Sus scrofa: one gene and its partner. The protein of the gene in region 1 purifies or fractionates together with the protein of each later gene. This does not show direct contact. Links are inferred from orthologs where the notes say so. Each region holds a gene or a part of one and is shown in the gene's direction. Other genes may lie near its edges. The genes, in order: SGSH and SUMF1.

What was found.
Region 2: the proteins of SGSH (region 1) and SUMF1 purify together in Homo sapiens (co-immunoprecipitation; 3 studies listed by BioGRID and IntAct, with this or other methods). This does not show direct contact. The link is inferred for Sus scrofa from reciprocal best matches to the Homo sapiens genes SGSH and SUMF1.

The regions. Positions count from the first base shown.
Region 1 is NC_010454.4:2,241,098-2,244,918, forward strand, and holds the start of SGSH (N-sulphoglucosamine sulphohydrolase), read left to right. Parts: upstream 1-726; 5' UTR 727-824; coding exon 825-921; intron 922-2,083; coding exon 2,084-2,244; intron 2,245-2,721; coding exon 2,722-2,827; intron 2,828-3,058; coding exon 3,059-3,209; intron 3,210-3,555; coding exon 3,556-3,712; intron 3,713-3,821. UniProt on the Homo sapiens protein: Catalyzes a step in lysosomal heparan sulfate degradation.
Region 2 is NC_010455.5:60,985,047-60,988,861, reverse strand, and holds part of SUMF1 (sulfatase-modifying factor 1), read left to right. Parts: intron 1-1,906; coding exon 1,907-2,020; intron 2,021-3,815.

The DNA.
Region 1 (3,821 bases):
AAGCAGGGTCCACGGGGACACCCACGTCTCGCTGGCCAGGAGTGGGTGGGGGGACTGAGGCCCTGAGGGCTCGGAGGATTTCCAAGTGCGCACCACAGCAGGCTCCGCCCACTACGGCAGACTGCGGCGCTGGAGTGGGGGGGCTCCCATCCTGAGGCTGCGCATCACCCCAACCCCCACCTGTGGCGTTCGCATCTTTACAGAAGCCCTAGGTGTTCTAGTTGGTTCTAAAAGAACGCCAGAGACTCCCTCAGAAATTCCGAGGGCGCATTCTCTTGGTCTGGGCGCCCCCGGCCCGCAGAGCCCGTCACAAACCACCCCCTTCCCCTGGCCCCCGGGGGGCTTCTCTGGACACAACCTGACCCTCACCCCTGAAACCGCCTGCCCGTGATACTGGGGTCCAAGGGCTGGGACCGCACGCTGGCCGACGGTCCGTTGCCCGCCGGCCCCAGTAAGGTGGTGGGTGGCAGGGACTTGGCTGGGGACCTGGTGGGTGGGGAGCGGGGTCCCGGCCGGAGGCACTCGCACCCTGGGACCCCGCGCCGCGCCACCGTCGGCAGCCCACCGGCGACCCCGGCCCGTCCCCGGCCAGCTCACCCACTCCGCGTTGGGCCTTGCCGCCGTTCGCGGCGCACTCACCGGACCGACGCCACAGCTCAGGGTCCCCCGTCGCTGCCGCAGCGGGTCTGCAGAAACCCGAGCGGGCTGGGGGAGTGGGGGCGGGCCCTGGGCGGAGCCTGGTGCACGTGACCGGGGTGGGCGGGGACAGGGCCGGAGCTGGTGGTCACGTGACCACGGGGCGGGGCCCGACTGGAGCTACAGCCATGGGCCGTCGGGAGCCGGTGGGTTGGGTGCTGCTCCTGGCACTGGGACTCTGCTGTGCGCAAGGGGGGCGCCGCCGGAACGTGCTGCTGATCCTCGGTGAGTGCGTCCCCGCCGACCTCCGTGGCCACCGCCCTCCACGGACGCCGGTTGTCGCCCCCCAAAGCGGCCACTCGCCCCTCCCTACCCGCGGACAGTGCTAAAGCTTCGTGCCCTGCAGCCCCCGTTGCAGTTCATTCTCGGTCTTCCTTCTTTGCTGCCCCGACTCCTTGTAGTCAACTCTTTGGAGAGGTGGGCCGTGGGGGCCTGCCCCCTGCGGGGTCTGGAGGGGTCGGCCCCAGCATTCACACCCCACTGCTGTCCCCGGTTCTGACCCAGTGACCAGAACAGCCAGGGCTAACCCTGCGGTCCCCGCCCACATCAGGAGACTGGGCGGCTTTCCAGAACTTGGGAGTCCACAGATGGCAGAGGGAATGCCAAAAGAGGAGCTAGTGCCTCAAGTCCCTGGGGTTCTCATCTTCTCCCTAGCAGTGATAGCCCCCTAAGTTTGCCCTTCCCTTCTTCAGACCCCAGAGCACTGTGGCTCAGTTCTCCCCCTGCCTGAAGGGAGCAGCCTCCACCACCCTGAAACCCCAAGTTCCTCTAGCACCGTGCTCTTCATGCGACTTCCTGCTTGGATGACCCTGCCCAGCTGTCACAAGGCAACCTGATTCTTTCCTCTTTTGAGGTCTGGCTCTTTGCCAGGGTCACTCTCTCTGATTAACTTTGTGGTCTCGGGCAGGCCTTTCAGCTAACTGTAACTTAGCACTCCACTGAGGGCTCCCTTCAACTCCCCCACCCCTCTGGAGCACTGGCGTAGACTCTGCACATGGATCCACATCCTGGTGTGTGTATGCAGAGCCCAGGACTGACTACTCATGCCTGCCTGCTAGCATGCCCACCTGAGCATCAGGCCCTCAATAGCGCACATGCCTGCCTGGATCTCATGCGATTTATGCCTGCCCGCTAATGTGCTCACCCAGTTTTCATTATGTGCCTATTGGCATTCTCACTCCGGTATCATTCCTGCTGAATATCAGGCCCACTTGGGTTATGCCCCCCTGGGCATCACTCCTGCCTGATATCATGCTGGCTCAGGCATCACTGACCCAGCGGCAGGAGCAGGTCTCCCTCACTCCCACAGAAGGCTGCTCCTTCTGAGCCTAGCCCTCCTTCTGAGCCTGAGCCTAGCCTAGTGCTCTCTTTCGCCCACCTTCCTCAGCGGACGATGGAGGCTTTGAGAGTGGCGCCTACAACAACAGCGCCATCACCACCCCTCACCTGGACGCCTTGGCCCGCCGCAGCATCGTCTTCCGCAATGCCTTCACCTCCGTCAGCAGCTGCTCGCCCAGCCGTGCCAGCCTCCTCACTGGCCTGCCCCAGGTGAGGGTAGCAGGGGGCAGGAGGAGGGCATGGGAGAGGGAGGGCTGCCAAAGCCTGTGCCCACAGGGAACCCCTCTCTGGTCTCCCTAGGGATGTGCCCACCTTCCCTCCCCTACCCCCAGCCTAATGGTTGAAGTGCAGGCTGGGAATGGACTACCCACCTGTGCGTCCTGCTCCACTACTCTGCGTGACCTTGACCAAATCATTTACCTCTGTGTGCCTTATTTTCTTCACCTGTAAAATGGGGTTGGAATAATACCTCACTCATGGAATGATTTTGGGATGGGTCAAGCTGATACCCTATACTTAGAGCACACAGCAAGGGGCTTGGCAGGTACTTGTCCAGCCCAGTGTTGAGTCTCGTCATGATATGGTCCAAGGAGCTTGTGCGCCCATGAAAGCTGGGGGGGTAGGCTGGGGTGCGGGGGCACCCTGGCTGTCAGATGGCGCCCTGCATCACGGCATCTCTGCTGGCAGCATCAGAACGGAATGTATGGCCTGCACCAGGACGTCCACCACTTCAACTCCTTTGACCGGGTGCAGAGCCTGCCGCTGCTGCTGGGCCGAGCTGGTGTTCGCACAGGTGAGGGGCTTCGCGCAGCTTCCCTCCCTGCTCCAGAGGGGCGTGGCCTTGTCCTGAGCCACTCTGGACAGCGTCACCTGCTCTGAGCACTTAACCCCAAGAGACCCGGGCCTCTTGGACACATGAGAACAAGGGCCTGGCTGTCCTTGTGGAGGCTTGGAGTGGGAGAGGGATACAGAGGTGGGTAGGGGACCAAAGGGGCTCTGGACAGATCTGTCTCCCCGGCTCCAGGCATCATTGGGAAGAAGCACGTGGGACCAGAGGCCGTGTACCCGTTTGACTTCGCGCACACGGAGGAGAATGACTCCATCCTCCAGGTGGGGCGGAACATCACGCGGATGAAACTGCTGGTCCGGAAGTTCCTGCAGACTCAGGACGACAGGTGCGAGGAGGGCCCTGCCTCTTACTGCCCGCACACAGCCAGACCTCTTAGCAGTTAATACAAGATGAAAATCCCAGAGTCTCTGGTTGGCTTCTTGGAGTCCCCAGACAGCGGGGGTGTGGATGGGGGAGAAGGTTCCAGACACTCAAGTTGATCTGGTTATCAGAAGAGGGGACGTAGGGAACCTGAGGCAGTGTAGATCACAGGGAGGCTCTCAGTTATGGGGAAGTAGGCAAAGCTGAGGGGTGGTTCTTCCTAAAGGACGGGGTTCCCCAGGGCAGAAGCCAGGTGGTGGCTCGATGGCTGACCTGGACCCCAGTGCTCAGACCCACTCTTCCACCTGCAGGCCTTTCTTCCTCTATGTCGCCTTCCACGACCCGCACCGCTGCGGGCACTCCCAGCCGCAGTACGGGGCCTTCTGTGAGAAGTTTGGCAACGGGGAGAGTGGCATGGGGTGGATCCCAGACTGGACCCCCCAGACCTACAACCCGCAGGATGTGCAGGTAGGAGGGCCCCTTGCCGCACGACCAGGGACCACCCTTCTGCCTCCGCCTTGTCGCGCTGGGCCCCGTGCCCCGTCCATAGGTTTGCAGCGCTGCAGGTGTGTAAGAA
Region 2 (3,815 bases), on another chromosome or scaffold:
CATGCCCCCCTGCTCCTTCCCTTCTTTCCCTGAAACATTAATTTCTTCTTTTCTTTCTTCTTCCTTCTAGCTATTATTCCATCTTACTCTTTATGATCATCTCCAAATTCTTGAAAGAATAGTTTATGCCTCTGGCCTCTCCTCCTTTACTCCCTCTCTGACCTTTGAACTCTGACCTTGATTTCAGCAAGACGCCTCTACCTTTGTAGAGGACAGCTCACCTTCAGCCTGATCTCTCTCCCTCCAGGAAGTTTCTGTGCATTTTCTTTCATCCTCTTATCCTACTCATCCCACCCTGCCTTTCAGGCCTGGATTTTTTATTTTTGGTGCCATCTTCCTCTCTCTCTCATTAAAGCTCTTTTACATCTTAAGGCATCAAACCCTTCCTGCCTTCAGTTGACATGCATGGAATTACTGAATGAAGCAATGAATAGGCACCCTGTTTCCATGATGTATGCTTAATAAGGAAGCAGAGTGATGAACAATTTCAGCTTTCTCCTTCATCTGGATTAAGTTCTTTTTCTGCATAGCTTCACAACTTTGATTGAAGTGCTCTGAATTGCCCAAGTATCAGATGTTTCCATATGTATGCATAGATCTGAAATCTTCTGAAGCCAAATAGAAATGAATTTTATTCCTTTCTGTCTGACCTCATTCATTGGGAAAAAACTTGACTTTGCAGGAAGATTTTTTAAAAAAGAACCTTGAAGATAACTTGATATTTTTTTCATTTAAAAAAAATTTGTAAAGATTTTCTTCAGATTTGAAAATTTCTTTTTTTTTAATTTCTTAATTTTTTTTTTTTTTTTTTGGTTGTTTTGCCTTTTCTAGGGCTGCTTCCGCGGCATATGGAAGTTCCCAGGCTAGGGGTCTAATCGGAGCTGTAGCCACCAGCCTACGCCAGAGCCACAGCAACGTGGGATCCGAGCCGTGTCTGTGACCTACACCACAGCTCACGGCAATGCTGGATCCTTAACCCACTGAGCAAGGCCAGGGATGGAACCCGTAACCTCATGGTTCCTTAGTCGGATTCGTTAACCACTGTGCCATGACAGGAACTCCCAGGTTTGAGAATTTCTACTAAAAACTGTTGGAAAAAATTTTGAGGCTTTAAAAGTAAATGTGTTCTGTACATATTTACTTTTCAGTCAAAGATTTTTTTTTTCCTGACCTCTATCCCACCCTTCTTTTTACACAAGCTTCATGCTTTGGTACCGAGTCTTTGACAATATTCTGTGGCAGGCTGTCTGGTCTGCCTTGAAACGTGATATAATTGCTTTCTGAAGAGTCCGTGTTACTTGCCTCATACTTCAGGTCCCAAAGATTGCAAATCCTTTGTGTATTATAGTTATGGTTGATAACAAATTCACGTTTTCTTTATACAAACAAGTCCCCGCAGTGTTTTAATGATGAAGACTGAGGCTTAAAGATAAGCTGGTGAGTTGGTGGGGGCTGGTGGAGAGGACAGAATTGGCTTGGGGGTCTCTCCGTGCTCAAAGACATTGTGTGGCCAACAGAGCTCAGCTATGATGACAAAACTTATACCACCTCTAAAATGATGTTTCTGTTATGCTTTTGAAGGTCTAAAGATCATGACCTCCCCTCCCTCACTGCCCAGTCAGATACAGATTTGACTTATCATCAATAATAGTCTATCAGGAATAATTTCACTGACTTTCTGACCATGGAATATTAACTCTCCTTAGGTTTCTAAACTCCCCTTGACCCCCTGAGAGCTCAGGGCTTTTCTTTGTTTTTACATTGGCCAGATTGTTATTTTCACTGTTGGAATGAGAATTAATATTCTTTGAAGGCACAGCTCTTTGTACATTTCTGCACTGAAGAGATTTTCTAGAAAGACAAGGTGAGTAGTTTGACAGCATGTCCCCCCCTTTTTTATTTTTAGGTTGATGCCTTTCCTCCCAATGGTTATGGCCTTTACAATATAGTAGGGAACGCCTGGGAATGGACCTCAGACTGGTGGACCATTCACCATGCTGCTGAAGAAAGAATTAACCCAGTAAGTATCAGTCTCAGAGTATGTATCATGAAAAAGCTGCATCTATTCCCTGGACAGTCTGTGGCAGGAGTTTCATGTGTTTCTGCAGGGTATTTATGTACTAATGAAATTAATCTTGAAATGTCCCCAAAGGGATATTAAGCATTATTTCAACCTTAAAGCATTGAGTAGAAATGTCTATGGGCATTTTGCAAGCTGCTGGATTATGATGGTGATAATGGTTTGAGGGACTTTTCCTATAACTTTAGAAATTATATTCAACCTCATAAATGTGGTCGAAGTGAGATAAAGAAATAACTATGCAAAACTCATTAATGTTTATTAATAACTAGTGTGATCTGATAAATGGTATTTATTATACAGCTGCTTGCCTGAGTTTTCATTGGTTGAAATTTTGCTTGAGGAGCATTGTTTGGGGAAAATGAGAAAGGATTTTTTTTCTGGGTGAATGTTGAGTCAGGAAGTTGAGTCATTCCGTGATTATTTCCTGAACTCCACAGTGTGTCAGTTCAGTGCATCATAAACCTTGGGAATTTAGACAACCACGTTTGCCTAAGTTTTACCTGTTCTGGTATGGGAGGAATGTTGAATGCAGCTAGTGTACTACTTTGCCTCTAAAAACCAAGCGCTGCCAGCAGAATATACAAAAATTGAGACACGGCATGGGCATGTGGGTGTTAAGTACATCCTTTAAAAAGAATGTGTCTGTGAATATTTCTTGTTGTATGAACAGATTGTGGGGGAAATACCATTTAAAAATCCTATCACTAGCAAACTAGTCATTCATAAGTCAGATTTAGGAATGTGTATTTATACCCAAACTAGCTGGACTGGGAACTTAATATGCTTTATTTTATTTTATTTTATTTTATTTTATTTTATTTATTTATTTATTTATTTATTTATTTATTTATTTATTTATTTATTTATTATCTATCTATCTATCTATCTATCTATCTATCTATCTATCTATCTATCTTTTTAGGGCCATACCCATGGCATATGGAGGATCCCAGGCTAGGGGTCTAATTAGAGCTGTTGCTGCCAGCCTACGTGAGAGCCACAGCAACGCCAGATCCAAGCTGCATCTGCAACCTACACCACAGCTCACAGCAGTGCTGGATCCTTAACCCACTGAGTGAGGCCAGGAATTGAACCTGCAACCATGGTTCCTGATCCAATTCGTTTCTGCTGTGCCATGACAGGAATTCCTAATACGCTTAATTTTAAACTGTAACCCTTTGAAAAGGCACAAAAGATAATGATAAAGAAAATTAATTCTTCAGTCTCTTCTTGGTGGAGGGTTAAGCAGCTCAGAGTAATTGAAGAAATTGTCTTGGGCCCTTTTTCAGAATGTGGGGATAAATTTGTTTGATGTACTTGATTTTTCTTCACAGAATAACATGTGGGTTCATCATAAATAATCTAGAGAGAGAAATCTACTTTCTTGGGGGCAGTTGAAAAAGCTGAGTTCTTCAGAAATGGTCATTTCCCCCTCATTTTCCTTGTACTTCCTGGCAGGGTTGATGGAAGCAGTGGTCAGAGACAACCCATCTCCCCAAAAGGAGAATAAGGTTGTGAAATTCTCGGTGGGTTTGTGGCTGGGAGATGCCATTCTCTACGGGCAAGATGTGACTTGGCATTTGCTGTCAGAAGCAGAAATAGAATTTTTTTCCCCCTCAGATCAAAGCATCTGCATGTTTGGAAGGGGGTACGCAAGGCTTCAGAATTCTGGCAAGTTGTGAGTGTATCTCTCTCACCATCTGCTGTCGAGCTGAGTGCTTATTAGCTTTCA